Macaca fascicularis: one gene and its partner. The protein of the gene in region 1 purifies or fractionates together with the protein of each later gene. This does not show direct contact. Links are inferred from orthologs where the notes say so. Each region holds a gene or a part of one and is shown on either strand. Other genes may lie near its edges.

The links.
Region 2: the proteins of SUPT3H (region 1) and ATXN7L3 purify together in Homo sapiens (affinity purification with mass spectrometry; 6 studies listed by BioGRID and IntAct, counting the BioPlex papers as one, with this or other methods). This does not show direct contact. The link is inferred for Macaca fascicularis from reciprocal best matches to the Homo sapiens genes SUPT3H and ATXN7L3.

The regions. Positions count from the first base shown.
Region 1 is NC_088378.1:126,166,644-126,182,374, forward strand, and holds the start of SUPT3H (transcription initiation protein SPT3 homolog), read left to right. Parts: upstream 1-8,275; 5' UTR 8,276-8,512; intron 8,513-8,617; exon of another isoform or gene 8,618-8,970; intron 8,971-9,200; exon of another isoform or gene 9,201-9,324; intron 9,325-10,112; exon of another isoform or gene 10,113-10,180; intron 10,181-14,212; exon of another isoform or gene 14,213-14,380; intron 14,381-14,494; exon of another isoform or gene 14,495-14,588; intron 14,589-15,731.
Region 2 is NC_088390.1:65,248,914-65,264,547, reverse strand, and holds ATXN7L3 (ataxin-7-like protein 3), read left to right. Parts: upstream 1-7,144; 5' UTR 7,145-7,375; intron 7,376-7,495; exon of another isoform or gene 7,496-8,318; intron 8,319-8,740; 5' UTR 8,741-8,800; coding exon 8,801-8,851; intron 8,852-9,119; coding exon 9,120-9,273; intron 9,274-9,473; coding exon 9,474-9,645; intron 9,646-9,821; coding exon 9,822-9,919; intron 9,920-10,600; coding exon 10,601-10,623; intron 10,624-10,908; coding exon 10,909-10,975; intron 10,976-11,123; coding exon 11,124-11,209; intron 11,210-11,522; coding exon 11,523-11,591; intron 11,592-11,868; coding exon 11,869-11,912; intron 11,913-12,157; coding exon 12,158-12,229; intron 12,230-12,322; coding exon 12,323-12,480; intron 12,481-12,583; coding exon 12,584-12,732; 3' UTR 12,733-15,198; downstream 15,199-15,634. UniProt on the Homo sapiens protein: Component of the transcription regulatory histone acetylation (HAT) complex SAGA, a multiprotein complex that activates transcription by remodeling chromatin and mediating histone acetylation and deubiquitination.

The DNA of each region.
Region 1 (15,731 bases):
CTTTGGGAGGCTGAGGCTGGTGGATCACCTGAGGTCGGCAGTTTGAGACCAGCCTGACCAATATGGAGAATCCCCATCTCTACTAAAAATACAAAATTAGCCGGGCGTGGTGGCACATGCCTATAATCCCAGCTACTCGGGAGGCTGAGGCAGGAGAATCGCTTGAACCTGGGAGGCAGAGGTTACGGTGAGCTGATATCGTGCCATTGCACTCCAGCCTGGGCAACAAGAGTGAAACTCCGTCTCAAAAAAAAAAAAAAAAAAAAAAAAGAAAACGCACTAATAAACTGCTGGGTGGCCAGTAAGCCCTCAAAGACTGGAGCCTGCTGGAATCTAAGAAAAAAAAAAAAACTACTTAATATTAAAAACAAATAAGAATTTGTGGGTGAGGAAGAGCAGAGGACTGAGTAGAAAGAAGAAAAAGGAGCATTGTGGAGAAGCACGACATTGTGGCAGGAGTGCTTTTTCACCAAGACTGGAGTGCAGTGGTGCGATCTTCGCTCAATACAACCTCCGCCTCCCAGGTTCAAGCGATTCTCCTGCCTCAGCCTGCTGAGTAGCTGGGATTACAGGCGTGCACGACCACACCCAGCTGATTTCTGTATTTTTATTAGAGACGGGGTCGGGCCATATTGACCAGGTTGGTCTTGAACTCCTGACCTCAAGCGATCCACCCACCTTGGCCTCCCAAAGTGTTGGGATTACAGGTGTGAGCCACCACACCTGGCCCACTTTTAAGACTAGAAATTTACAGTACTTTTAAGTTGTGTTTCTGTAATGTTAACTCCCTTTCATCATTTCATAACCTTAGTAAATCTGCTGTGCCCACACAGAGCTTTGTGAAAATGCTTTTGGGTGAAACCTAGGAACAGGGCTAAGTTCTACATCTGAGTGGATGTTTGTGGAATAAGGACAGATGGCAGCTCATCCATGAAACACACTAGTTTACCATAAGGGGAAGTTCAGAGCCAGAGCGGGTCAGTGAGAACATTAGCTCCCCAGAAATAAGAAGAAATCTTGGGTTGGGTATTGGACTTGCAAATGAGGTGGAATGGAGGTTCAAACCAATCCTAACTGAGGGCTTAAAATCCAGGGAGATCTCAGCTGATACCCAGGTTACATATTATCATAGTACCTTTGCTCTTCCTTGTTTATATACCTTTGCCTCTCCTAAATTCACCAGTAAGAAGTCTTTTTGAGGGCAGAGATTCTGTTATTTATCTTATATTCCCAATGTCTAACAATGACTAATAGTGTACTTACTATATCCTCAGTAAATGTTTGTTAAAAGCATAATTGTCACATTTACATAAGTTTACTGAATTAAGAAAAAATAGGCTGGGCATAGTGGTTCATGCCTGTAGTCCCAGCAATTTGGATGCTGAGGCCGGAAGATGACGTGAGGCCAGGAGTTTGAGATCAGCTTGGGAAGCATAGTGAGACCCTATCTCCATAAACATTTAAAAAAAAATTAACTGGGTATGGTGGTGTGCATCTGTAGCCTCAGGCAGGAGGACTGCTTGAGCCCCGAAGTTTGAAGTTACAGTAAGCTACGATAGTGCCACTGCACTCCAGTCTGGGAGACAGAGTGAGACCCTGTCTTTAAAAACAAAAGGAAAAAAAAAGACACCCTAATATCTAATACTTGAGATAAGATTTTGTGTTTAATAGTCCCATGTCTAACACATTAAAAATATAAACACTATAAAATCACTCAATAACTAATTAAAATAAAAACTAGAAAACTGGCCAGGCACAGTGGCTCACACCTGTAATCCCAGCACTTTGGGAGGCCAAGGTGGGAGGATCACTCGAGGCCAGGAGTTCAAGACCAGCCTGGCCAACATAACGAAACACTGTATCTACAAAAAATACAAAAATTAGCTGGGTGTGGTGGTGCATGCCTGTAGTCCCAGCTAGTCAGGAGGCTGAGACATGAGAATAGCTTGAACACAGGATACAGAGGTTGCAGTGAGCTGAGATCATGACATTGCACTCAGCCTGGGCAACGGAGCGAAACTCTGTCTAAAAAAACCAACCAACCAACCAACCACTCCCCCGCCGGAAAACAATAATAACTACAAATTGTTAAATATTTTCAATGTGTCAGGAACTTCCCATTTAAATCCTGATATCAACCTTCCTACATTAGGTATTCCTATCCTTATTTTACACTGGAGGACACTTATTTTCAGTTGAATAACTTGCCCAGCCTTATGGCTAAAGTGGCACTAAAGCCCTTATTTTTTACACTATACCTGACTGAGTTAAAGAAATGGTTTTAAATATATTCTGGTAAGAGGGAAATACAGCTTATGCTGCCTCGGTAAAAAGCTAAAAATAAAAACAAAGTAACTTGGTGAAACCTGTTGGTACAGTTCCCTGATTACTATTTAACAAATGATCTGAGCATTACTTAGTCAAAATAGGTTTGTTGCATCCAACTTCAGAATGTGAAGTAGGAATACCAGGTTGCGTTAGCCACACTGTCATTTATTTCATATGGCACCAAATAACTTTTGGTCCTGTTTCCATGAGTAATAGAAAAAGAAGGCAGTTATTTGAATAATTCACTGAAATAGATTCAGTTTCAGTGAAAATACTTTGGAGAACTGGATGTTTCTGTATACTCGTCTTAACTTTATTCCCTACTTTCGAGGACTGATAGACCAAAAAATTTTTTTTATTTTTATTTTTTAAAACAAGTGGATGTTTAGCTTTTCTCAAACTTTCTTAAAGGTATTCCTTGACATACATTGGATAGGTCTAAATGGAACTTTATTACATGAGCAAGATTAGAAATTAATTTAATTATTATAAAATGTTACAAATTCAAACTTCATTTCCTTAAGAACTTTCTCACTTTGTTGTCTAGGCTGGAGTGCGGTGGCACTATCTCGGCTCACTGCAACCTCTGCCTCCTGGGTTCAAGCGATTCTCCTGCCTCAGCCTCCTAGTAGCTGGAAGCTGGGATTACAGGCTCAGCCACCCCACCTGGCTGATTTTTTATGTGTTTTTTTGTAGAGACGAGGTTTCATCATGTTGGCCAGGCTGGTCTCGAACTGGCCTCAAATGATCCACCTGCCTTGGCCTCCCAAAGTGCTGGAATTATAGGCGTAAGCCACTGTGCCCAGTCCAGAACTTATTTATTTTTGATGGCAAAACATTAAAGATAATACAAACATCATGTTTAATTATGTACTTATTCCCCAAACTGCATTCCTGATCTCTTGCACCTACCCAGTATACTCCAACCCCAATCTTCCCCATCTCAGTGAATGTAGGCAAATCCATTTTTCCAGTTGCTCAGAACAAAGTTGTTCATCCTTGATACCTCTCTTTCTCTAGAATCCTAAATCCAACGTGTTAACAAATCATATTGGTTTTCAAAATATACCCAGAACCCAACCATGTCTTAAGGCCTCTACTGTAACAACCCTAGTACAAGCTACCATCATCTTTTGCCTGGGTTACTGCAACAGGACCTGTCACTCTACAGACTATTTTCAACCTGGGAGCCAAGGTAACCAATATAAAGCCTAAATCTTACGAAGTCAATCTTCTGCCAATAGCCTCTCAGTGTCAGACACACACGGCCTTTCACCATCTGGCCTAGTGCTTCTCTGACCTCATATCACATGATTTTCTTTCTGGGTTACTCTTCTTTAGCTACAGTGGCCTCCTGGCTGTTGCTTCAAATTACCAGACCTGTCCCCACCCTAGGGTTTGCAAATTGTTCTCATAGTCTGGAATGCTCTTTCTTCAGATATGTGCAGGTATCTCCTTCACTTTCAAGTCATTCTTCAAATACTACTTTCTCAGTGAGTCCTGCTTCAACTGCCCAATTTAAAAATTACATCTTCCCCTTTCCTCCTGTGCTTGGTCTCATTCCACGTTCCTTCCCATATAAACTTTTCTGATAACACTCATGACCTTCTAACATACTATATAATTTAGGTATTTATTTTAGGTATTTATTTTTATTGTCTAACTCCTACTAGCATGTGAGTTTGATGATGGCATAGGTTTTTTCTGTTTTGTTCACTGCTATATCTGCAGCTTCGAGAATACTGTCAGGTACATAGTAGGCCCACAACAATCTGTTGAAATGTAAAAGTTGTCTGATTCCAGTACAAGAGTATTACATATTGGATTCCATGAGAATGGGAACAACTAAGTTTTCATGTGCCTGAAGAGCTCAAAGGGTCTTTGGAATGCTGGTATTCCATGGTTCCCTTACCATTCTGACTCTCAAAAACATAATCATTTTTTCAACAGCCAAGCACTAATTTTAAAAGACCCTGGACTGTGAAATCTACAATGACAGGTCCCTAAGAGGATGATCATGATTACAGTTCTACAAGCTACCTGGTACTGTATAATTTTTTTTTAACATTTCTTTTCAAATCATTGTACTGCTTTTCCTTATGAATGGAATTGGAAGGTAGGGGAAGCCAATTTGATTACACATCAATAATTTTGTGACACCCCCACCCCCTGCAGTGCATCAGCATATCTGATACATCTTTTCATGTTGGTTTCTCTTTTGAAATGTGTAACATCAAGCAGGGCATGGCAGCTCAATCCTGTAATCCCAGCACTTTGGAAGGCTGAGGCAGGAGGATCTCTTGAGCCTAGGAGTTTGAGACCAGCCTGGGCAACATAGGGAGATCCCCATCTATACACAAAATTTAAAAATTAGCTGAGTGTAGTGGCACATGCCTGTAGTCCCAGCTACTGAGGAGGCTGAGGTGGAAGGATTGTTTGAGCCCAGAAGGTTGAGGCTACAGTGAGGTATGATTGCATGACTGCACTCCAGTCTGGGCAACAGAGAGGGAAACCCCATTTCAAAAGAAAAAAAAAAAAAAAAGCAAGCCCTGAATACTTTTGTAATTTTTGTAGCACAAATGCTGAAATTATTCTGCACAACTTTAGGATCCATCCTTTGGCTATTCCCATTTTGAAGGAACATAGAATTTCAGGACTGTAAGGTTTTAGTTTATTTGGTTCTATCATCTCATTCTACAGATAAAAAACTGGAGTTCAGTGATGTTAAGTGACTTGCTCAGGTACTACCGGGCTGAGTAATCTTTTTGGTCAGAATGACTTGTTCTAAACATAAAACAAGATACTTTTGAGAATGCAATTGGAAAACAGTTCTGAACATCAAAAAACGAATCTAGCAACAATTGCAATATACAGTTCTAAATAATATGCAGTCTACCCCAGTTTATTTTCATGGTGACAACTTAAGCATTAAAAATAGAAGGCAAATATAGCAAAGGATGAAATAATTGATAGAAAATAAAAAGGCCCCACAAGTATCCTAACAAGTAAGAGTTATGAATCTCAAAACGACAAAGAATTTCCAGGTCACCTGAACTGTTACTGTGGCATCCACATGAGAAGAAACCACTTCTGGCCAGGCGCAGTGGCTCATGCCTGTAATCCCAGCACTTTGGAAGGCCGAGGCAGGCAGATCACAAGGTCAGGAGTTTGAGACCAGCCTGACCAACATGGTGAAACCCCGTCTCCACTAAAAATACAAAAATTAACTGGGCATGGTGGCGCACATCTGTAATCCCAGCTGCTCAGGAGGCTGAGGCAGGAGAATCGTTTGAATCCGGGAGGTGGAGGTTGTAGTGAGCCGAGATAGGGCCACTGCACTCCAGCTTGGGTGACAGAGTGAGACTCTGTCTCAAAAAATAATAATAAAAAGAAATCACTTCCATGGAATCAGAGAGATGGTTCCATATTAGCCATGACTTCTGCTGTTCTTTTGAGAATGTGGGCTTACTATCTAATCATTTTAAGATGCCCATGAGCACTTTTACTTAGATATATGCACTTTCTCTTTGCACTAGTGAGTCTATGTGAATGTTACATGCCAGAGGAATGTAAAAGTCTACACTTACAATGCTTCATTTTTCTTTAAGAATTTTGTCCAGGTCATGGAGACATTTTTGTGGAGTGATAAATTAACTTCTTCTCCTGATGCGTTTTCCCCAGATGCCTTGGAAATCACTTGTTTTTCTGAGAGGTGTTAGTCATCAAAACCTTAACTTTAGCAACAGCTTTGCTGTTCTAGTTTTGTTATAATCAAGATACCCTAGTACCATTGATAGTTTAGGATACTTGATATGAATGTAATGGAAAAATATTTTTGGCCCTTTGTATATAGCAATGGTCTCAAACTATGAGAAAAATTATGGCTAAATCAGATTTTCAAAAATTGATTTTAAGACATTCCAGGAGCTAGGAACCTGGTTAACTCATGTGACTTTAAAACTCAGATCTCTGCCAACAGCACAATTCAGTTTCCTAAGAACAAAATTTTTAAACTTACTGTATCAATGCCTTAACTCAGTTTCCCTTCTCCATGTCTCACTCTCATTAACTTTTGTTGTCTGTGATTTTTTTTTTTTTTAGACAGAGTCTAGTTCTGTTGCCAGGCTGGAGTGCAGTGGCACGATCTCGGCTCACTGCAACCTCTGGCTCTCAGGTTCAAGCGATTCTTCTGCCTCAGCCTCCCGAGTAGCTGGGACTACAGGCGCGTGCCACCACGCCCGGATAATTTTTTGTATTTTTAGTAGAGACAGGGTTTCACCATGTTGGCCAGGATAGTTTCCATCTCCTGACCTTGTGATCCGCCCGCCTCGGCCTTCCAAAGTGCCAGGATTACAGGCGTGAGCCACCGCACCCGGCCTGTGTGTGATTTTATGCAGGCTGGACACCAGTATCCTAGAGTAAGATGATCTGGATTCTATCCTGATAAACTGGGTCAAACAGGTACTCATCTGATGCAGGTGAAACTCCAGTGCAGGAACTTCCATGACAACTTTAAACATAATTTTAATTGAAATGATCTACTTTTACGTTTCTTTAGATATGAACACCAATTTTTCTCTTAATCTTCTGTTAACTAATTTCTTGGTAATGTACTCAAAATAGCTTTTCAACCAGTCTTCCAAAGTAAGAAGTTATTACGATGCTATTACTTTCCCTTATACTGCACACTTTGCTCAGCAATGAATTGATCCCTGATTTACACATTGTGCTGAACTCTCACATCCTAAATATATTTATTCTTTTGGAATTTTAGGTATTTGGAAAATATTGAAGCGTTGGGGAGATTAAAGAGAATAAACACAACATTAGCAGACTCAACTACAATCCACAGAGGAAATAACTAAATAAGTTGCTATTTTAAACAATTTAAGCAAATAGGAGGAAGGGATTATTTCAGAACTCACAGTATGTATAGGCAAGAAAATAACTGAAGCAGTGATGCTTAAAAAGACTTGGTGAGGGTTAATACTTGAATCCCTATAAAATACAGTATTTTATAGTATTTGACGTCACAGGTGTGCAGGTGAGCATGGATAACCAGTTTTCTTCTCTAAGCAACCAATAAGAATGTTAAAACAGAAATAAGACTTCATATAATACAGTGAAAGACTGAAAGCATTGTCTTACGACTACTGTATTATTTAAAGAACTACATCTGTATCAATCAAATGTGGCAGGACAGGATGTACAGTTCAATACTGGGGGTGCAAGATTTTAAAATGAGGAACAGGCCAAAATCTAAACACAGAATCGTCCAAAAAAAAAAAAAAGGCCTTCAAGTAGAACAAGTTTTCAATAACAAAACATGGTAGTTGAACGCCTGCGTCTAGTTACGAGTTGGGGAAAAACATTAATTGCAGATTAATGAAACAGATTCTGTGCGAGGTCAGGGTAGGGAGTGATGGCGCGCGGGAGCGGAGGAAGAGCCGGTTTCGCCGTCCCAGAAAGCGTTCCACGTCCACACGCCCGCACTGCGGCCCTGCGGCGAGGGTTCAGACCTCTCCGTTTCCCTTCACCATTCTAAACGCGCAATCCCGCTAAAATCCCGTTCACTCCAATTCCTGGAAAGAAGCTTACAACGGTGAATCTCTTCCCTGGAGTTGAAAATCAACTTCCAGTGCCGGTCACCGAATCCGTCAAAAATCCTATCCCTCTCGGGCCCAATTCCTAAAGAATTCAAGCCTGCACCCTGTAGACCCTGAGCGATCTCAGATCATCCCCACACCGCTCCCAGCCTCCCCAGCTCTAAACGCCGCCGCGTGGCTCAGCGCTGCCCTCTCCGGCCTCTGAGGGCCGCGCACATCGCCCCGCCCCCGGCTAGCGTGGCGGAAGTAGCTCGCCCGGGCTGAGAGACCGCGCGCCACCTGGCAGAGCGCGCATGCGCCCGCACAGCCAGTGCTGGGGGCGTCCGTATCGCTAACTCCTCAGTCTCCGCAACCCCCGCCTCACCGAGAGTCGGGCTCACGCCATCTTGCACCCCCTTCCCCCCCGTCACACAGCCGAGTCACCTTTTCCCTTTCTTACACTCCACACTCTCGGCCCCCCCACCCCGCCCCTTTCCAAGCGTGTCCCGGGCCGCAGCAGCAGAAATCGCACCATCTCCACCCCCCACATTCTCCTCGCAGGAAGCGCAGCCGTGCCTACAAGGGTTCTTAAAGCAGAGGTTGTGGGGCGTGCGGGGGGCGGTGCGGGGGTGCGGGCGGGGGAGACGTCCGAGAGCCGGGAGGGACGCAGCGCGGAGATCCCAGCGTCTCTGGGCCCCCGCGCCGGCCACGCCCTGGTCCCGGCTCTAGGGCGGCCGCCTGGGTCTTCGGCGTCTACGCGGGAGTGTTGAAGGGAGGGCGGCTGTGGGAGGCGCTGACCGGGCGCAGCGCCCTGGTTCTGCTGCCGATTGTGGAGTTGCCTCTCGACTCCTCCCTGTTGGCGGGTGGGCGTGGGGTGAGGGGGATTGGGCTGTGCTAAGGAGCGGGGTGCGCGGGTCGTCTAGGTAGTGTTGGGGGTTGCCGGGGGAATCATTAAAGAGGGAAATTGTTGCTTTATGGCACGGCGAGAGAAGAGTTAGGTAGTTAGTGGGAGTGTAGCATCCAGAAAGAGGAGAAGATCCGCTGTGTTCTCTCTGGGGTGAGCTCACGTCTGTGGCCCCTGGGGAAATTATGTAGCTTGTCTTTGCCTTGTTTTGGTCTGTAAAATGGCGATCTTATAGCCTAGTTCAGAGTTGTCAGGGTTATATGAGAAAATACACGTTAAACGCCTGGAACAACGCCAGGTGCTGCTCAGTACATTTTAGCTCTGCTTTTGCTCTCCATGTTTTAGGAGTTCAGAATGACTGTGACCTTATCTTCTCAGAGAATGAGGACATTTGGTCTCACAAGTGAGAGTGAAGTTATGAAGACAGTGATATGTAATATTTGACACTCAGACGATCCTGGACATGTTATTACTGTACACGTGGATAAATTGGCATTTCTCCACGAGGTTAATAGAAATGTTAAATTATTTCGGTAGAAAGAAATGTGTGTGTGTATATATGTGTATATATGTATGTATAGTGTGTATATTTATATATGTATTTGGAAGGAGAGGACCTGGGGTCTTAATATATGTAAAGGGCAGACTTTGGAAGAGGAATTAAATTCGCCCTGCAAAGATTTACTTGAAGGACAGAACTTGGGGAATTTCTGGTGAATGTTTCATAGAGGCTGAATTTGACTATGAGGAACAGTTCGTGAGAGTACTTTTCTAGAATGGAATGCACTTCATTGTGCTATTGAAAGTTTCTTATCTTAGGATATTCGGGACATTGGAGCGAAGTGTGCCTAAGTCTAGGCTGCACTTTTCAGTAGCAGTTTCTGCCTTGGTGGAGATGTTCCATAATCTGTGCCTTTAGGCACTAGTGGTAGCCTAGGCACAGTGGCTCTTCAGCACTTGAAATATGATAAGTGTCACTGAGGAAGTTAATTTTTAATTTGTTTCGTAAATTAATTAATACATTGATTTACGTTTAAATACCAACGTGTGGCTAGTGATGGCTACTGCATTGGGCAGCACAGGTCTACAGTTTAGATGTTGAGAGTCCTTCCGAGTCTTGATATGGTTGAGTTTCAAATCAGAGAAGCCAGCTCTTTGGAACATTTATTGGCTTACGGAATTGTAATTCTATTCAAATAATGCCTTTCATTCAAATACTGCAGTTCAGACCTTGGGTCTGTTAGTACTTATTTACATCTTGACAAATTAAAGCAAAACGTTCTTTTGTCTCCTAGGTTGTACGGGTAATGCCAGATCCAAAGAGCTATGACAGTATTAACTGGAGTTTTCTTTAAACATTATGGTACTATTTTGTGATTTTTGGTTTTTATCTTTTACTACTTTGGTTGGTTTTCAGTGAGAAGTTTCCAGCTCTTTTATTCAAGTTTTTTTTCTTTTTTAACCTTTCGTGTAATAAAGCTATTTGAAAAATTATAACTGTTGAGCATTAGGACATTTTAGAACTAGTTTTGTGGTTATCCAAGTCTTTTGGAGAGATAAGTGAAATTAGGTAATAGATGTTTCACAAAATTGCTTTCCTTGAAATATGTGCATCTTTTTTTTAAGTAAGTCTATATAAAGTCAAATATGAAAATAAAACTAAAAGAACAAACAACTTTCATAGGTAGCGGTAGCACCCTTAACCCTGGCCTGATGTCTGTAAAATGATGCCCTTGGGTCAGGCACGTTGGCTCATGCTTGTAATCACAGCACTTTGGGAGGCTGAGGCCACAGGATCTCTTGAACCCAGGAGTTCAAGGCTGCAGTGAATCATGGTCAGGCCAGGCCTTCCAGCCTGAGCTATAGAGGGAGACCCTGTCTCTTAAAAAAAAAAAAAAAAAAAAAAAAAAAAAAAAAAGATGCTCTTGGTCTTAAGGCTGAAGATAATGGTTAGATCTGGAACAATAACTTAAAGCCCATGAATTAAATCAGATGGAGAGAATAGCTCATAATATGCAAATCAGAATGGGGTACTTTTATGGGTGACCATAATATCTTAATTTTTCTGAGACAGTCATGGTATAAAGCCTGATTGTTCCAGCACAATTATTTAATTTAATAGAACCCCTTTCACTATCAAAAATGTTCGAATTGGGACCACATAATAATGTCACCCTACTGTTAGCCTTCTTGGAACTTGTAATATATAGTTTTAGGACAATTAACCACATTGCAATATCAGAAATACTTTATTATTATTTTTGAGACGGAGTTTCGCTCTTGTTGCCCAGGTTAGGGTGCAATGGTGTGATCTCAGCTCACTGCAACCTCCACCTCCTGGGTTCAAGCGATTCTCCCTCCTCAGCCTCCTGAGTAGCTGGGATTACAGGCACATGCCACCATGCCCAGCTAATTTTGTATTTTTTGTAGAGATAGAGTTTCACTGTGTTGGCCAGGCTGGTCTTGAACTCTTGACTTCAAGTGATCCACATGCCTCATCCTCCCAAAGTACTGGGATTACAGGTGTGAACCACTGCGCGCGGCCAGAAATATACTTTAAAACAGTGACAAAATTACTGTTGTTGTGTCTAAATAATAAATGAGATACCTGGAATAAGGCCAGCAAGTGACTTTCCCATGTAAGCCACTGATAATTTAAAATTTTGCTTTGGATAGAAATCTTTAGCAGCTTGAGTTTTGGTGCCCTCTGGAAGAAAATTATCTTTTGGTGGGGGTGACTGCAAAGCATTAGTCTATGTCAGTCAAATCAGGAGATTGAGTATTTGTGTTGAAATAACACTGATTTTATTTTATGGTAAGGTTGAATAGTGAAATCCATCAGAAATCTGATTATGTATTAGAATGTTAAAGACGGGTTTTACTTACAGTTACTTAAATAATGAAAAATAACTCAGCTACATGCATTATTAAGTTTATACTGAAGTGGGTAAAATATTTTATTGAGGCTCTAACACTTGATTTGAGTTCTCACTCAGCTACTTCCTAACCATGTGATTTGGGACAAATTATTTAATTTTCCTAAGAATACTCGGTTCCTCATTTATAAAATGAAGATGGCGATGGCTTCTGCTTCTAGGTTCATAAGAGGTTAATTTAAATAACTCATGTGATGTGTTGGGTGCAGTTCAGTAACTATTAGCTGCTGTAGCCTTAAGTTTATTGGATAATCTAGAAGTGATAATAACGTTCTGAGATGTTCTGTGGGTTGGTGAACAGAGCACTAAGACGCAATTCTGTAAACCTAGCTTTTGCCCTTTTCTGCCACATTTTGTCATTTCAGTTAAGGTATTTAACTTGTTAATATCGGTGCCTCAATTTCCTTATCAGTAAAATAGAATTAGTACCCAACCTCATCCCACCTTCTCATAAGACTGTTGGTGGCATCAAATGAGAATTACGTTTAAAAATTGTTGTCCTTACAAACATTTTTATGTTGAATTGGTTTTGTCTCGTCTACCTACAGCCTCCACTAAAGAGTGACCTGCAGAAGTTGTTCCGCAAATTTTGTGTAACAGCATAGATAGTGTATAATAGGCACTATTACTGAAGACAGTTCTCTTTTACAAATAATATTGTAAGTCACAGGCCGGGTGTGGTGGTTCACGCCTGTAATCCCAGCACTTTGGGAGGCTGAGGTGGGCGGATCACTTGAGGTCAGGAGTTGGAGACCAGCCTGGCCAACATGGTGAAACCCCATCTCTACTAAAAATACAAAAAATTAGCTGGGTATGGTGGTGCATGCCTGTAGTCCCAGGTGCTCAGGAGGCTGAGGCAGGAGAATCTCTTGAACCCGGAAGGCGGAGGTTACTATGAGCCGAGAACGTGCACTGCACTCTAGCCTGGGTGACAGAGTGAGACTCTGTCTCAAAAACCAAACACAAAAAAAACAAATAATATTTTAAGTCACAGTAATGGTGCTTTTTTGATCTGGTCACAATATATTTTCTACAGAAAACAACCCTATACTGCTAAGGAAGAACGAACATTTTCTTGGGCACTTACTTGATGTGTTCTTTCCATTGTATCTCATTTATCCAAACATATTCCCACCGAATAGGTTGTACTAATGAGGCTCTTACTTTCTAGAATGGGTCTGTCAGGCTTTTTTGTACTGTAGTTCTCCCTTTGAAAATATCTGGCCCTTAGTTAATGGGTAGTGAAGGTTAAATAAGATCATGAACATGAAAATAGTGGCTGGCTCTGTGACTCATGCCTATAATACCAGCACTTTGGGAGGCTAAGACATGTCCAGATTGCCTGAGCCTAAGAGTGAGGGCAATATAATGAGACCTAGTCTCTACAAAAAATTTAAAACAAAAATTAGCTGGGCCGGGTACAGTGACTCACACCTGTAATCCCAGCACTTTGGGAGGCCTAGGCGGGTGATCACCTGAGATCAGGAGTTTGAGACCAGCCTGGCCAACATGGTGAAACCCTGTCTCTACTAAAAATACAAAAATTAGCTGCATGTCTTGGCATGTACCTGCTGCTTAGTAGGCTGAGGCACCAGAATTGCTTGAACCCTGGAGGCGGAGGTTGCAGTGAGCCAAGATTGTGCCGTTACACTCCAGCCTGGGTAACAGAGCAGAACTCCATCTCAAAAAAAAAAAAAAAAATGTAACCGAGCTTGGTGGTTGGTGCCTGTAGTACCAGCTGCTTGGGAGGCTGAGGTGGGAAGATTGCTTGAGCCCAGGAGGTGGAGACTGCAGTGAGCTGAGATTGTGCCACTGTACTCCATCCTGAGCAACAGAAAGAGACCCTGTTTCAAAATAAAAAGAAAATAGTACACTGTTTGGTGTATAGTAGGTAGGAGTTACTGAAAAGATGCTGTTGAATTCACAGGACAAGTAAATTGAAATAATTTATGTGACTATATTAACTAAAATAACATACAAATATAAATCATTTAAAAAATCTTGAAATGTACTTTTGCGATTTAAATGCTATAGTGGTTTTATGACTGAATTCTATATATTTCACGGTATTCATGTTAGTCTTTATTAGTCATAACATTCTTTGAGGATATACATGTTTAACAATAATCTTTTGTGATATATTTTCAAGAAGCTTTGCTTTTGCTTGAGTTCATCATCATTGTTGGCATGAACTAAATGCCTGATATGTACAAGGCACTTTCCTAAGGGCTGTACATATGTTATTTTATGTAACCTAGGAGAGAAGTAATTAATCTCCATTTTAGAGATGAGGAAACTGAGGCAGTGAGGTGGCATAACTTGCCCAAGGTCATGTGTAAGTGTTAGAGCCTATAATTTAACTCCAGAGCCTAGCTCTTTACTGCTCCCATTGTGGTTTGGCATAGGCAGATATTAATATTTCACAACACAGTTCAGTGTGACATACACATTGTGGAGGCTTTGTGGGTTAGTTATGATAAACTTTTATTTGTATATTCCTTGTTGTATAGTAGAAAGAACTCTGGACCAGGTGTCGGGGGACCTCAGATTTAGTCCCAGCTTGTATCACTAAATAGTAGTGTGTCCTTGGGCAGTTCAAGAAACCCCTCTGGACTTCAGTTCCTCACCTGAAAAATGAGGGATTTGGAGGAAATTAGTGATTTTCAAACTGTAGTTCTGAAGTCTGCTCAGATGTCTTTGGTTCCCTCCCACCAATTTGCATATATATTTGTCTGTTACAGTTGCTTATCCATCTACCTAAGATTTTCTTTTAAACGAAGAATTTCTTAACTGAGTGTTTAAAGTCATCAGTCTCCAAGAAAACTTAATGACTATGTAAGTCCCCTGACTGCTGTGTTTACAACTTTTCAGTAATTTCACAATATTTTAGTGTTTTAGGAGATAGAGATCTTTTACTAATGAAAAAACTAAGGCACTAAAATGAGAGGATTTTTATTAAAACATAGTATATCTAAATGGCCTGAATATTTCAGGTTATCAGCTATCTGGGATCAAAGCCTGTTGTTTACTGAATTTGTGATCTTCAGCCAGTCTTAGTTGGTAGAGGCAGAATACTTGTCTTGTAGGGTAATTGTGGGGAAAAAAAAAAAAAGTGAGCTAACACAGGTGAAACACCCTTTATAAACTCCAAATTCATCTGTTTTTTACATGCCTACAGTAAATCCCCCATTCCTTTTTCTTTTTGGTCACGCAAACTGTGTTTTTAAACACATCAGATATTTTGTAAATTGTTTAATGCAGAATTCTCATAAGCTTTAATATTTCTAAAATGTGACTCTCGACTGGAAGAGAGTGTTGATTTTTAAGGGAGCTGCTTTTTTTTTTTTTTTTTTTTTTTTTTTTTTTTTGAGACAGAGTCTCGCTCTGCCGCCCAGGCTAGAGTGCAGTGGCGTGATCCTGGCTCACTGCAAGCTCCGCCTCCCGGGTTCACGCCATTCTCCTGCCTCAGCCTCCCGAGTAGCTGGGACTACAGGCGCCCGCCACCTCGCCCGGCTAGTTTTTTTTTTTTTTTTTTTTTTTTGTATTTTTTAGTAGAGACAGGGTTTCACCGTGTCAACCAGGATGGTCTCGATCTCCTGACCTCGTGATCCGCCCGTCTCGGCCTCCCAAAGTGCTGGGATTACAGGCTTGAGCCACCGCGCCCGGCCGGGAGCTGCTTATTTTTTGACATCTTTGTCAAATACACTTACCTCTTACTGTTAGGAGTGTAATTGGTGCCAAAATCTTCCACATATCTCAAAAGTTAACCATTAAGCAACTCTATTATAAAGTTTGAGTAAAAACAACAGTGTTTTAGTGTTGGAAAAGTAAGTGTGCTATGTGCCATTTGTCAGGGCTTAAGGATAATCTGATAGGCACATTTGCAGTGTACTTTAGGGACTGTTTTTGCAAAGAATTTTTTTTTAAACTCAATTTTTCTGTGAGAGTACTGGATATGAAAGCATATGAAATAGAAAC
Region 2 (15,634 bases), on another chromosome or scaffold:
TACCGGAGAGTGGGGGTGGGGGGGGTCCCAAAGAGTTCGATGAGGCCCTCCACACCTGCGGCCCAATCCAAGGTGGGGTGGAAGCTTGGGGAAGACGCATTCCTTCCCAGAGGGGCCTGCCACCTGGACCCCTGCATTGGAACTGGAGGCAGGGAATGTGGGGAGAGGAGGGCTGGTGCCTTCGAGAAAACAGGCGCTGCCCTGGTGGCCCTCTCCCCTGCCCCCTGCAGGAAGGAGCTGCCTGGACCCATTCATGGGGGAGGGGGCAGAAGTGTTTTTTATATATGTGTATATATTTTTTTTTAAGCTCTGAGCTGTCAACGAGACGTTTCCTACCGATCTCGGCTGCCGTCTCTGTTGTCATTTCTGGGAGAGGGAGGGTTTAGGGGTAGGTTTGGAACCTTTTAAAAATGGTCTTGATGTGTGTGGAAGAGAGTATGTGTATGTGTGTTCCTGTACATAGCATGGGTGCAGCTGTGGATGTGTGCAAAAGAGAGTGTGTGTGTGTGTGTAAGGGGGTCTGTCCTAGAGCCCACATCAGTTTGTTGTGAATCTGGAAAAAGGGTCGGTGAGAGCCGGGAGATGTTGACCCTGGTGGGAGCAGACTGAGGCTATCCCATTCTCCACATCCTCTATTTTGCCCAGTCTCTGATTCCACTGGGGGAGTGTGCCGAAGCCACTCTAGGATGCTTCCCAGACCAGGCTCCCTCTGCCAGGGTCACATGCATCTGAGCTGCTGGTCTCCATTGTCCAGCAGGAAGGCTTCCGGAAAGACAGGCAAGATGGTGTGAAGCTTAAAGCTTGTATTTGGTGGAAAAGGCCTCCCCTGCTCATCTGAGGGGCCAAGCCTGGCCACCCTAGGCTCAGAACCTGGGCTTCAAGAAATGTGCTGGGAGCTCCTATCTTACACATCCCTTCAGCTTTCCTTAAATCCTCCCACCACCCCCTATTTCCTTTAATTTCTCAGGTCTGCTCCCTCCTCCCCCAACCCCACAGCTGGGCAAGAAGTCTGCAAAAGCTGCTTCTCAGCTGTCTCTAATTCTTCCCAGCCATTTCCCAAATTTTTTGGTACCTTATTCCTCTTAATAAGCCAAGTCACCTTATATCTGTAGTTCTTACTTTTTTGTTGACTAAATTTGGAGGGTTCTTTTTTTTTATGATCATGTCAATGACCTATTAAATTGGGGCTTGGTGCTTTTCCACCTTCCCCCTGTGAATGAAAGCCAAGGAATGGGGGAAGAGCGGGAACTTCGCTGCAGAAGTGGGGCAGGAATGGGGAAAGGCCCTGGCCCCAGAGAGGCTGGTGGGTCCCTCTCCCAAAGGCAGGCAGACAGTCTCTGCTTCGCCTTGGACCTTGGTGCTGGGGGTGGGGAGGTCTGGGGGGTTACTCTCCACTCCCATTCCCCTTCCTTTGTCCTAATCCTGGAATTAAGTAAAGGGGTTTATAGGTTCTATTTCTTCCCAAGAGCCCTGCAAAGAACCCCAGTCTCCTATTTGGCTGCCCTACACTGTTGTGTTTCAGTGGAATGTATTTTCATTTAAAAACAACTTGCAATGGGGCCCTTTTTTTTTTTCCTGTTTTAAAAATTGAAAAATTCTTACAGTACAAACAGGACTGTCAGGGTGGGGGTGTTGGTGCTGTAAGAGGTCACTCTTGAGTGCATTTTGGCACTGGGATGGGATGGCTGGGGTGGGAAGACCCCCGTCCCCGCCCCCAACTTTTTTTCTAATATTTAAAGAGTGTTTTGTAGGATTCAACAACAACCACAACTTGAATTTGTATCATGGGAGGTGGGAGGGAGTGGCTTAGAGGTGTCTGCCTATGCTTAAAGCCAACTGTGGAAGTTTTGTTTTCCCTTTTTTGTATAATAAAGTGAAAAACAAAGGTTTGACTGCTGTCTGGTCACTGGAATCAATGAAGGTGATGTAGTTCACAGGGGTGACCCAACAGGTTTGATCTATAAAAATGCTTGAAGCCAATTTGCCTTTTTTCCCTAGAACTATCTTCCTCTTCCCTGAAGATTCCATAGGTAACCTATATTCACATTGTTCTGTGCTACTGTTCTTGCCCTTTTCTCAATTCCATTTGTTCACTTTGGGTTGTCAGACCACTAAAGACTGAGAAGTTGGAGAACAAATGCATTTTCATTCAGAGTACATGGTCTTGGGGAATTGGAGGTGATGAGCTATTAGGGTCAAGGGTTTGCCCTGGACATGCAACCCTTCCTAGTGTAGGGCTTGCTTATCGTGGGGAGTTGAGGGAGCACTCTCCCACTCTGAGCCTTCAGCTCCACCCGGGGTTAAAGGTTAAGGGTTAAGGATGACTTTCCTAAGACCATCTAGACCTCTGATGGGAAGCAGGCTGGGCTGGGCTGAGATGACTTGCTCTCTGAGATTAAGGAAGACACCCTTCCCCGTGCAGGCCTTGGCTGGGTTCCTGGAAACTCAAAGGGCTGCAGACCCAGGTCCCGTCCAAGAACTCTCTCCCAGCCCTCACCCCTATCCTATACTGGCCAAACTTCTAAAAAGCTTGTTGCGCCTCTTGGCCTCCAACTTACCAATATCCCTTGAGGCTCCTTGCTAAGGTAACCAACATGTTCATTACATCTGGTGAACACTTGTCTGTCTTTTGCCTTCTTGATCTACTCTGCTGGTGTCAGCTCTTCCTCATTTTATCCCAGGTGTTCACATCTCTCCCTTCAACCTCCCATGATCGCCAATATGCAACCATTCTGAAGGGTGGTGCCGACAGAGACTGCTCTTCCAAGCTGCAGACCTGTGTAGACACCCTTGCATCCTCTGGGATATCTTGCAGGCATCTCATACCTCAAGACCCGAAATGATTACCAAACGCTTAGTCGTTCAACCTAGGAAGCAGAGTATTGGCCTTGACTTCTCTCTCCCTTTCACCTCCAGGTTCAATCACCTAGACCTCTCCATTCCACTTCCTAAAGCTGTCTCAAATCTGTCGACCCCTCCCACAGGGTGACTCCCACAGCTGCCACGCCCATCCTATTTAAGGCCACCATCATTGCTCAACTTCTGCAAAGACCTCCTAAAGCTGATCTTCCTGCTTGCACTCTCGCCCCCTACAGCCCATTCTTCACATGGCAGCCAAAGTTATCTCAGAAATAAATCTGATTATTTCTGTACTGAAAATTTACCATGTCTTACCATGGCCTTACAAGGTTTGGCCCCTGCATTCCTTCTCTTATCTTCACTCACCCTGCTCTTCCTAACCACTCACAGTGATCCAGCCAAGTGATCTCTTTTGTTCCTCAAACACGCCTACCCGCGGGGTCTTGGCACCTGTTCTTTCGGCCCAGAATGGCTATTCCTCCAACCCTACACATACCTGATGTTTTTTTCATCTTTTAGGCCTCAACTCACATGTCCTCTCTCAGCGAAGCCTTTCCCAACCACCTGCTCTAGAGAGGCGTCCTCCATCTTCTTGTTTATGTATTTGTTTATTATCTATCTCACCAAGTAGAAGACACCTTATCTGCTTGTTCATTACAGTAATCTCAGCACCTGAAACTGCCTGATATACATTCGACACCCAAGAAAGACTTGTTGAGTGGGTGAATAAGTCTGGCCCACAAGGCCCTAGGGGATCTGCTGCCCCTGTTAGCCCTGCCCTGGCTCTAGCCACACTGGCCATTCATGTCTCGAACATAACATGCTCTGTCCCAGGGTCTATACACATGGTGTTCTCTCTGCCTAGTTAATTCAGGGCTCCACTTAAAAGACCACTTCCTTCCCTGAGCTCCTGAGAAAAAGGGTCTCCACACTATATGTTTCTTCAGCAGCCTGAATGCCTTCACACTCAGGCCTTATTTCCTTCCCATCAGGCCTTGCTAGGCTGTAAGCCACGCTAGGACAAGGTTTGTGTGTCTCTCTTGCTTGCTGCTGTAACCCCAGGGTCTCACCCAGAGTCAGGACCAGCTCAGGCCTTAGTGTTTATGAACTGGTGCTAACAGTGAAGACTGGTACATGCCCAAAGAGGTCACCACCACAGAGCAGCCCAGGCCAAGCACAGAATGAACAGTACAGTCTAGTTGTACAGAAGTTTGGTATGAGGATGGCCACAGGTGGGGATATGAGGAAAGATTTAGGTCAACAGGGAGAAGCCAGGAGGATTTTCTGGCCATGGCGCAAATTCCTTAGGGCAGAATGTACTGGGCATATTTAGGTAAGAAACAGATCAGCATCACTGGCGGGAAGAATTCCTGAAAAGGAGGTGGGAGATAAGAGAAAAACAAGGCTGAGGCTATGTTGCTGAAGTTCTTGAAAACCTAGCTTACTTCTCTGTGCCAGATCTAAGTTCAATCACCTTTCGGGTCTCCATCAGCTGATCCCACAGAAACCTCAATATACCCCAGAGTGAAGTCATCCTCCCATGTCCTCCCCTGAGTTCCCCATCCTAGTTAAAGGTGTTTTCGAGACCTCCCTCTCCTTTCCTCCATACACCCCAATCAGTAACAAAAACCTGCTTTTGGCCAAGCCCAGTGGCTCATGCCGGTAATCCCAGCATTTGGGAGGCTGAGGCAGGTGGCTTTCCTAAGGTCAGAAGTTCGAGACCAGCCTGGCCAACATGGTGAAACCCTGTCTCTACTAAAAATATAAAACAAAAATTAGCTGAGCAAGGTGGCATGTGCCCGTAATCCCAGCTATTAGGGAGGCTGAGGCATGAGAATCGCTTGAACCTGGGAGGCAGAAGTTGCAGTGTGCTGAGATCACACCAATGCACTCCAGCCTGAGTGACAGAGCAAAACGCTAAAAAAAAAAACAAAACAAAAAAACCTACTGCTTCTAAGTTATTCTCCAGACCACACTCCAGCATGATCTACTAAATATATAAGTCTGGTGAATGATTCCCCTTGAGGATTCCTCATGGCTTACAGGCGAAACTTTCAACACCTACTTGCTTTGTCCTGTATGATCCAGCCTGCTCACCTCCAGCTATTCTGCCACCCAATCCTCTGTTTCAGCTTGATCCAGGCTTCTGAAGCTTCCGGTTGGGGATATCCAATGCTTTCTTGGCCTACCTTTACCTGGTTCATCTCCCACTACAAGAAGTTTTTCTTTTTCTTCTTTTTTGTTTTGTTTTGAGACAGCATCTCGCTCTGTCGCCCAGGCTGGAGTGCAGTGGTGCAATCTCAGCTCACTGCAACCTCCGCCTCCCAGGTTCAAGCGATTCTCCTGCCTCAGCCTCCTGAGTAGCTGGGATTACAGGAGCATGCCACCACACTCAGCTAATTTTTGCATTTTTGCAGGCTGGTCTTGAGCTCCTGGCCTCCCAAAGTGCTGGAATTACAGGCCTGGGCCACCCCGCCCAACCCAAGAAGCCTTTCTTGACCAACTCTCTTACATTATTTGATGTCTCCTTCTGGCTACCTCTGTTCTCTCTCTGCTGTTTTCGTCACACTCTTTTGCAATTATTATCCTACCTGTCTATCCCACAAGACAGTGAACTTCTTGAAGAAGCACAACTGTCTTATATCATCTTTTGTCCCAGCACCTGGAGCACCGTAAGAATAACAGCTAAGATTTACCAAGCACTTACACAGAGCTAAGAGTTTCACATGCACTGACTTGTTAATCACTACAGCAACGCAATGAGATAGGACTATCATTATGCCCACTGACAACAGAGGAAACTGAGGCAGAGGAAACTCATTTGCTAGATCCAACGATTTAAATTCAAATCAGACGCCTGATCTTAACTACTCTGGAATATCGCCTCAATAAATGTTTGCTGTTTCTCAGGAGAAATCGGTGAGAATAAAATATTTGCGGAAAACTAAAAACCAAAGATGGCTCCAAGTATGTGATTTCAGACTATCCTCCTTTTTAATCTTATCTCTTGAGGGGAGAGGGCTGTCACACAACCGTTCCAGGACACCAGACACAGAGTAACCGAGATGAAAGCGCCAATCCAGCCATCCACCGCGGCTGGGAAAAGGCCCGCTCCTTCCTAAAGAGGGACTGAGAGCGTGAGCATAGGGACACTCTGCACCCAGGAGAAAAGCACTGGGTCGGGGGAAGGATCTGGCCAGTGCCAGGCAGGCTGTCTTGAGGGGTGGGGGGTCCAGCGTGGGTTCCGGAAGCAGGAAAGGCAAGCAGGTGTGGGATCTAAATTAGGATGAGGGGTGGGGAGGGCGCTCCGCGCAGAAGGGCGCAGCTTGGCCTCCGACCTCAGCAGCGGACCCTCATCTCGGCCGCTTGTTGGTCCGCAGGCCTGGCGTGGGCTGAGACCCGCCCAGAAACCAGGAGAACTGAGGCGCGGGCGAGCCCCTTCGATTCTACGGGCTTTCCGCTCCGAGGTCCTAACTGCGCCCCACTTCAAGTCTGGCCTCTTCACAGAAGTGGCTGCACGCCTCGGGGTAAAGGGGGGAGCGGAGGGGGGGGGGGAAGAGAGCGGGGAGCCCCGAGGGAAGGGCGGGGAAGCCTGGGCCGGAAGGCGTCCCAGGATCGGCTGGGAGCCGGCGCTCTCTTTCGACGCCACCCGCTGCCCCCGCCCCCGAGCCGGCCGGGACGGCACAATGTCTCCGCCCCCAGCGCACCGCGCACCTCACCTTGAACGCCGCCCCACCCACCCCCATCTTATTGGGCCTCCCGGGCCGAGGCCTCTCGGCGATTGGTCGGGGAGGTCCGCGAAGGCCCCGCCCATCTCCCCGCCCCCGTCCCCGTCCGCCGGTACTTTGGACGGCGGCGTGGCGCCCCTCCTCCCCTCCCGGTCCCCGCCCCCTGGAGCAAATGCTGCCGAGCTGCGGCCGCGGGGCAGATGCACGCGCTCGGGCCCTTCTAGCAGGCGCGAGCAGTCGCTGGGCGCGCGAAAGCGAAAGAAGGAAGAGGAAGGGAGGGGGAGGGCGGGGTGTTGGGGAGGGGCGGGAGGAGGAAGAGGAGGAGGTTGGAGCGCGCTCGCGCTTGGCCTCGCGCCCGCGCGGAGGGAGGGGGAGAGGGGCGCGCGCGCGCACGTTCGCGTTCTCGCTCGCTCCATCCATCCATCCTCCGGTCGCGGCACACGCGCGCGCGCTCCGGGCTCGCGCCGCACCCCCCGCCCGGGAGAGGCGGGCTGGAGTGGGGGGCGGGGGGAGGGGCGCGCGGACGGCGCGCGGACTGCGCGCGGGCGGGGTGAGGTGAGGAGGAGGAGGCGGCGACGGGACAAGAAGGGAGGGGAAGGGGCCATGGCCGCCCGGTGAGGCGGCGAGGCGGGGGGGCGGCCCGACCCCCCGGCCCCGGGCCCTGGGCCCCGGGGAGAGGCGAGGACGGACCGACGGACATGGGGCTCCGGAGCAGCCGCCGCCGCCGCCGCCGCCGGAGGACGCGGCCCTGAGAGGCCGCCGGGCCCCGGCGCGGCCCCCCGGGCGGGGTGAGTACGGGACGGAGACGGGGACGGGGGAGGGGCCTGCGGGGGGCGGGGGGCGGGGCCCGAGGCGGGGCTTGGGCCCCCTCCCCCCAGGTCTGGGTCAGCGCCCCTTCCCCTCCCCCCGGGCCGACGCGGAAACGCCCGGCTTCCCCCAGCTTCCCGGCCGGGCCGGGGCCCCCAGCTCTCCCCCGTCTGGGTCCCCCTTGGGCGGGGCAGGGCCGGCCGGGGAGGGGGCGCGGGGCCTTTGTTAGGGAGCCAGGCCCCAGCCCCCGGGACAATAGAGACACCCTCCCGGACTCCTCTCCCCGGCCGGCCGGGGCTGCTGGCGGGCGGGGAAGGAGAGGGGCCGGGACGCGTCCCACTCTGTCCACTCTCTGGGGGTCGGTCTGTCCCGGCCCGGTGCCGGCCCCGGCGGCTCGGCTCTCCTCCCCCCAGTCGGTATGATGCAGCAGCAGTGCCGCAGGGACGGGGGAAGAGCCGAGGCCCGGCCTCCTACCCTTCCCAGTGCCCCCGGCTCATTCGTCAGTCCCCACCCCACTCTAGGCCGGCGGCTCCTGAAACTCGTACCCACCGTTCCGAGGGGCCCTGGGCTGTGGGTGCTGTGTCTGAATCCTTGGGTGGGGGTTCCTGGACTTTGGGGCTCTTGGAGAGACTTCCGGGCTGGTCCTGAGGGAGGGTGGGTGGTTATTTAAAGGAAGAACAGGTAAGGGGAGTGCCCGCTCCTGGCGTGCCACCCCACCGGGCACCCCCCCCCGCCCCGCCGCTCCTGCTCATGGTGGCTAGAAATGTCCCTTAGCTCTAGGCTCCTGTGAGCTCTGCTTCCCTCGTGGAGTGGCAGGCTGATTTCAAGGGAAGGCAGAGTGGGGTGAAGGTTGTAGGGTCCTAGGGCCATTTCTACTTCTGGTAGCAGTACCCCCCCAAGTGGACATCCTGGCTGAAAGCAGAGGTGACTCTGAGGAGAGTCTTTAGGGAAGGCGGGGGGGTGTATTTAGGAGTCTGTGCAGTTCTTTGCCACACCCTGTGGGTTTGCTTTGAGGCCTTGGAGTTCCTTCTCCTCCCCCTGCTGCATTGCACCATGGGTATCAAAGAGGGGTTTGAGTTTTGGGGACCTAGGGTGAGCTGCTGCCTCCTATAGACCCAGACTCTGATTGGCAGTGGAGTCCAGGGCCTGAGCTCAGGCCTGGGAAAGACTAGGCCCCCTTTAGGTTTCAGGCCCTGAAGGACCATCCAGACTTAGTGAGCCTGGGCCTTGGGGAGGGAGAGACCCTGATGCCAGGACTGAGCTCTGGGCAGCGAGGTGGGAGGGAAGGTGGCCGCCTTCAGAGGTGCCTTGGACTCACAACAACACCCCCACCCCCGTGTGTGCAGCCGTGTTGCCGCCCGCTGTGCTATGAGCAGTCAGAGCGCCGTCTCCACAAGAGTTTACAAATGAAAATGGAGGAAATGTCTTTGTCTGGCCTGGATAACAGCAAACTAGAGGTGAGGGCTCCCCCACGTGTGCCTCCAGTTCTTTCTCTTGATGTCTCTACGTCGCTATATCTGGCATCCACACCAAAGAGGAATTTGGGTAGTCAGCCTTGTTCCTTAAAGGGAATAGCCAGCTGAAAAGGCCAAGGATCCAGGAAGAAGAAAGAACACGAAGTCAAGATGGGGAAAATGGCAAAGAAAGCGTGATTTTTGGCTGGGGCCAGATGGCAGCAGATTTGGTTGGTGAGAGTCCAGGGGGCTGTGACTCTTGTGACCGTAGATGTTCTCCCCTGGGGCCCAGGCCATCGCTCAGGAGATATATGCGGACCTGGTCGAGGATTCTTGTTTGGGATTCTGCTTTGAGGTACACCGGGCTGTCAAGTGTGGCTACTTCTTCCTGGACGACACGGACCCTGATAGCATGAAGGATTTTGGTGAGCTTCAGGGTGAAGGAGCAGCAGTCCAGCCCTTCCCTGGGACTGTTTGGAGTTTCCTTCTCTGGAAACTGTGCTAGATGTAGCATCTGGAGCTCCTGTGAGCCGGGGGAGGGATTGAAGAGGCCGTGGGACCCCAGGTGGGAACAAGAGGAGAGGGTCCCCTGCCCACCCTGATCGCCAGCCTCTCCTGTCCCCAGAGATCGTGGACCAGCCGGGGTTGGACATCTTTGGACAGGTTTTCAACCAGTGGAAGAGCAAAGAGTGTGTTTGCCCCAATTGCAGTCGCAGCATTGCCGCCTCCCGCTTTGCTCCCCATCTGGAGAAGTGCCTGGGAATGGGTCGGAACAGCAGCCGAATCGCCAACCGCCGGTGAGAGAACCAGAGCTGCCCATTCTCTGCAGCCTGTGCCATGGTGTAGTACCCCGGGGGCATTAGGAGGGTACCGAGAGTGGGTTTTACTTGGCCCCAGATACCCCACGTGCCTCTGAAGTTGGGGGCAGAGTGGGGTGACCCCCTTGACCCTTTCTCTTCCCTCCCTTTGGCAGGATTGCCAATAGCAACAATATGAATAAGTCTGAGAGTGACCAAGAGGATAATGATGACATCAATGACAACGACTGGTCTTATGGCTCGGAAAAGAAAGGTGCTTGGGGATCTGGGGAAACTTGGGGAGCATTGGGATGAGGTGGGAAGCAGAAATTGGGTATAAAGTGGTCACAGGTTGTTGTCTTTTTTTTTTTTTTTTTTTTTGAGACGGAGTCTTGCTCTGTCGCCCAGGCTGGAGTGCAGTGGCGCAATCTCGGCTCACTGCAAGCTCCGCCTCCCGGGTTCACGCCATTCTCCTGCCTCAGCCTCCCGAGTAGCTGGGACTACAGGCGCCCGCCACTGCGCCCGGCTAAGGTTGTTGTCTTGAATGATGAAGAGAGAGTATAGTTGTGCGGTTTCCTTTTTCTTTTTTTTTTTTGAGACGGAATCTTGCTCTGTTGCCCAGGATGGGGTGCATTGGCGCAATCTTGGCTCACTGCAACCTCCGTCTCCCGGGTTCAAGTGATTCCCCTGTCTCAGCCTCCTGAGTAGCCAGGATTACAGGTGTGCGCTACCACGGCGAGCTAATTTTTTTGTTTTTAGTAGAGATGGGGTTACACCATATTGGCCAGGATGGTCTTAATCTCCTGACTTCATGATCCGCCCGCCCGGGCCTCCCAAAGTGCTGGGATTATAGGCATGAGCCACTGCGCCCAGCCTATTGTACAGTTTTCTTGAGATGCTTTTAGATTGAGAACTTAACGGAAACCCTGCTCTTTATGCTTTTGTTCCCCCTTAGCCAAGAAGAGGAAATCAGACAAGGTGAGAGCCGGGGCAAGCATTGGGGAATTAATGGGCAAAGGACAGATACCCTCCCCTTTGGGCAGGGAGTCCTCAAGTGTCTTGACTCAAGGCTGAGGTCACTGGGGGCTTGAGGGTGTCTGTGGTGGGCGGGTGGGGTGTGGGAATGGAGGGCAGGGGAGGGCACATGGGTAGACAGGCCTCCTACTGGGGAGGAAGAGTAGGAATTTGAGGATGCTGCTTTGTCAAATCTTTTTTCCTTCCCTGGGTTCTCGGCTCCCCCTTATCGTTACCCTTTCCCCAAAGCTATGGTATCTCCCATTCCAGAACCCCAATTCCCCTCGAAGATCCAAGTCTTTAAAACACAAAAATGGTAAGTGGGGCCGGAGCAATGGGATTGCTTCTAGCTACGTCTTCTGGGACTCATTGCTGGGGGGTGGAGGTGGGGCCCGGGGATAGGGGAATTGAGGGAGGGCCTGTGATCCTTCTGTCACCCCCACTTCCTCTCTGGTTATTTTCAGGGTTCTCTGTCTGTACCTCTGCATCAAACACCCTTCCCCTTCTTTTTTCTTCTTCAGGGGAACTTAGCAATTCGGATCCTTTTAAGGTGAGTATGGGCCGCCCCTCGCACTTGCTCTCATTGTCCTGGTTGTGAGGTGGTAGGGAATTGGACAAGTAGGGATCAGAATGCTGACAGCCAGAGGCACTGATGAGCTATTTGGATCTTATATATTTATGTTCTTTCTGAGTCCCGCCCCTTATCCATAGGCAGGTGGGATGAGAGAAATCACTTGGAAAACGGCAGGGTTGTCCTAAAGCCTCTCGCTTAGAAAGGCACCAGAGGGACTGATTCTCGCTTCCCCCCGGCCCCTGTCTCTTCTCTGCCCCATCTCTAACCTGTACCTCTGGTTCTCCTGCAGTATAACAATTCAACTGGGATCAGCTATGAGACCCTGGGGCCAGAGGAGCTTCGCAGCCTGCTCACCACGGTGAGGGGGACCGGCAAGGGAGAAGGCCCTTGGGAGTGGGCTGGAGCCATAGGCAGTGGTCAAGGCCGGGGAGGAAGCTGGTGACATAGCAGTCAGGGCCATATTGTTCTCTCTTTCTGGAATTAGGTTTCCTGGCCCATAGTGTCCTGGGACTGTCTGCTCTGGACACCTTGGGGCCATCTCTGCTTGTGCTTTCTAGCATTTATGCAGAAGGGAACATCTAGCATCTAGAGTAGGTTCCCTCCATCCCTCCTTTCAGCTTATATTCCTCTTCCAGCAATGTGGGGTGATTTCTGAACACACCAAGAAGATGTGCACAAGGTGAGCACAGAACCTAGAAAGGGGGCCAGGGGCCTCCTGCACACTCACCATGGGCATGGGTCGGACTTGAGCAATGGGGCTTCTGCCCTTCCCCTTCCCTCCTCTAATGATCAGGCCTTCGGCCACAGTCTGGGGACGAATCTGCACTCATCCCTTCCCTGTCTGTGCCTGTGGCTCCTGCCTTGCCGAGAGGAGGGGCTTTACCTGAGTTCCTCAGACCCCTCCCTGCCTTGCCTCACCACCAGGTCCCTACGCTGCCCACAGCACACAGATGAGCAGAGGCGAACCGTGCGGATTTATTTCCTCGGGCCCTCGGCGTAAGTGGCCCTACAGGAGGGATGGGGGGTTATGACCAGTTAGGGCGATGATCGCTATCTCTAAAGCCCTTCTTTGGCTCATCCCCTTTCTAGCGTCCTTCCAGAGGTCGAGAGCTCCCTGGATAATGACAGCTTTGACATGACTGACAGCCAGGCCCTGATCAGCCGGCTTCAGTGGGATGGCTCCTCTGACCTCTCACCCTCTGATTCAGGCTCCTCCAAGACGAGTGAAAATCAGGGATGGGGTCTAGGTACGTGATACAGTTGGGCCCCAGGGGCTGTGCCCGAAGCCGTGGGAGTGCCACGTCTCCTGCCACAACCCTACTCTCATCCTTTGTGTCTCTTTCTCTACAGGTACCAACAGCTCTGAGTCACGGAAAACCAAGAAAAAGAAATCCCATCTGAGCCTGGTAGGGACTGCCTCCGGCCTAGGTTCCAACAAGAAGAAGAAGCCAAAGCCACCGGCACCCCCGACGCCCAGCATCTATGATGACATCAACTGACTTGGGTGCAAGGGATAGCCTTTGGCTGAGCAGAGCCCTCTCTCCTGACCCCCACCCAGGTGGCATAGCCTGGCAAATGGACGGCTGCTGGGGGTTGGGGCTTGGGAAGCTTGGTGGGCCAGGCAGGCAGAGGATCCGATTATGCGCCCCTGGGGGGTGTCAAAGTCCTCTGCAATGGAGCACGACTCCTCAGCGTGCAGGACTCAGACCTGGACATATTATGCCTTGGACATAAGTTTGGTGGGGAGGCAGTTTTCCTATTTATTCTGTGAGTTACTGGATGTCCAGCTAGGCCAGGGGCCTGACCTGGGCGCTGTGCCAGGGCACTGCCTGCCCCCCACCCCAGGAACTGGACTAAGCCCTGCTGAGGGGCAATGTGGTGACCCGGGAGGCTGTGGGTTGGAAGCTGAGCCTGGAGGGGGCCTGCCTTGGCCGCCCTCAGCAATGTGAATGGGTCCGGTGCTTGGAGCTGAGGGGCAAGGCTGGGCATGTCCTGTCTGTGTGCAGAATCCTATCAAATGCCCCCAGTCCCAGGGGTAGGCAGGCACAGAGTGCTGTCTGCTGAGGTGGGCGTCCAGAACTGCCGCCACCTTCCCTGCCCCTCACAGGGGCAGCCCTTTCCCCTCAGTCCCCATGGGCCTCCTTGGCAGCAGGAGCTGTCCTTTTGTTGTTGGGTGCCAGGAAAGGGCCTCCAGCCTCTACAGCTTCAAGGAATGGGAAAGGGAGGGTAGGAAGAGGGAGAAGTGTCAGAATTCCTCCCCCTGTCTCTCCTCCCTGACCCAGGGCTGGTGAGGAGTGGGGCCCCAAGGTGAGAGGGAACGGTGCTGCTTTATTTGAAATGTTTTCTTACCTCATTCCCTGCCCCAGGAAGGGACCCAGCCTCACCCTCCTGGGGTGGCCCCGTGTTCCTCCTGCCCATCCTGCCCCACTGCCCTACCGGGGCAGCCCAGGTTCCCAACTGCTGCTTCCACCCCCTTCACCTTGACCGGCTTCAGTTTCTCTCGGCGCTCCTGCCTCCAAAGCCTGCCCTGTTTCCCTTCCTTAGCGCTTTTAAGTTATTTATTCTGTACTTGTGGTTTGGGGCTCTGAGGAAAATCCTAATCTCGTGCCTCTCCCCCTTTGCTAGGAGTCGGGTGGGAAGAGAGGGTGGCCTCTGTGCTCCGGGTTGTCAGTGGAGGGGAAGGGGTGTCATTGCCCCTCTCTGGGACTGTCATGCCAGTGTGCCCACCTGCCTGGTCTACATCCTGAAGAGATGTACCGTCCCCCCTCCATGCGGGCACCACCACTCCCAGGAGCCAAGCTGGAGGACCGCGACCTGGGCTGGGAGCAGAGCTGACTGACACGGGTGGAGGTGACCCTGAGCCAAGTTCTCTGGCACTTCCTGGACATGTCCCCTGCCCTCTTCCCAAGAGGAGCCATCCCACATTTGGGTAGCTAGTACCCAGGACTGGTTGGACTGATCGGGTTAGGGACCCTAGAGGGTTAAGGGAACAACAGAGATGGGGCTGCAATGCCCTGTCTGGAACTCCGCTCTCCCCCTGGGGTGGTTCTGATTGTGGCTCATGCCTGGTTGCAAATTGGTTTTTAACCCACAAATTGTGATTATTTTTTAAAAAGCCAAACATTTTGGCAGGAGTTAGAATAAATCCTGGGGCCTAGGCTCCTCCGTTCTTGGCCCTCCGTAGCCTTCTCCCTCTGAGGGGAGGCCGGAGGGAGAGGAGGATCTCAGCAGGCCTCCAGCCGCTTCCAGATGCAGTCTGGGGAGTGGGCTGAAGGTGAAGGGAGGAAGGCTGTGGGCCACTCTCCCTTCTGAGAGGCAGCTGCAGCTCAGGCCCTAATACACTCTTTGCCCTGTGGCTTCTCCCTTTTTCCCCCTTCTGGTTGGAGGAGGGAGAAGTGGGAAGTAGTTTGGGAACTGGTTTGTCCACATAAACTTCCCCATTGTTCCTTGGCCCGCCCTCAGGGCAGAGCCCCCTGCCCAGGCTGGGTAAGAGATGGGCTTGGTCCAGCAGGGACTCTGAGGGAACAAACCCTTTTCCTTCTGGGGAGAGAGTGCCCCCCTACCATGTAGTTGAACAGGGGCTAGGAGCTCCCCACTCCCCTCCCTTTAACAGCAGGCTGTGTGGGTTTCAATTCCCATCCTTCCCACCCCGGCTAGGTGTTGTCCACCCTGTATCCTATCATGTGTCTGAGTGTGTGTGGGGGGGTTCTGTACTAATTTCCATGGCCGGTGGCTTTTCCTTCCATGCATCACTCCCCCCCGCATGCCCAGGGGCCACCCGCCTGGCATTACCGCATGCTGGGGTCATTGGGGGAGGGGGGTGGGGCTCACGCTGTCCTGTGGTCTTGAGATTTTTATTTTTGCATATGTAATCCATTCTGTACAGGTAGCTAACTTTGTAAACGCTGTGTATTCCCTCTGCCCCCATGGCTGCTGGTGTAAATAAACTGCATCTCCCGTTGGTAGCCCCGGCCTACCTACCCTCATTACCATATTGCTGGGGGCAGCGCAGTCATTCTCTGTCACAGAAAGAGGCTCCAGGACCACAAAAGGGAACTTTATTCAGTCACAGACACTGACCCTCCAATAGCCCCAGAAGCAGGAGCCTAGGGCCCAGCGATCCATACCCAGTCCTTGGAATTGGGAAGGGTAGGACGCTGGCCAAGGGCCAGTGCTGTCTCTTGCTTACAGCCTGAGGCCTACGGGAGCAGCAGCTGTGGCCTGGCCGCTCCCAATGCTGGGGGCTTGGCTTGGTGTCCTGTCCCCTTCCTGACTGAGCTCTATGAAGGACTCTTAAAAAAATAAAATGCAAGCAAAGTGCTTTGAAAGAAGGAAGGACACCCTATTCCTGCTAAGGGGTAGAGGGAGAAGGTGAAGGCGGCTAGGTGCCCATAAGAGAAG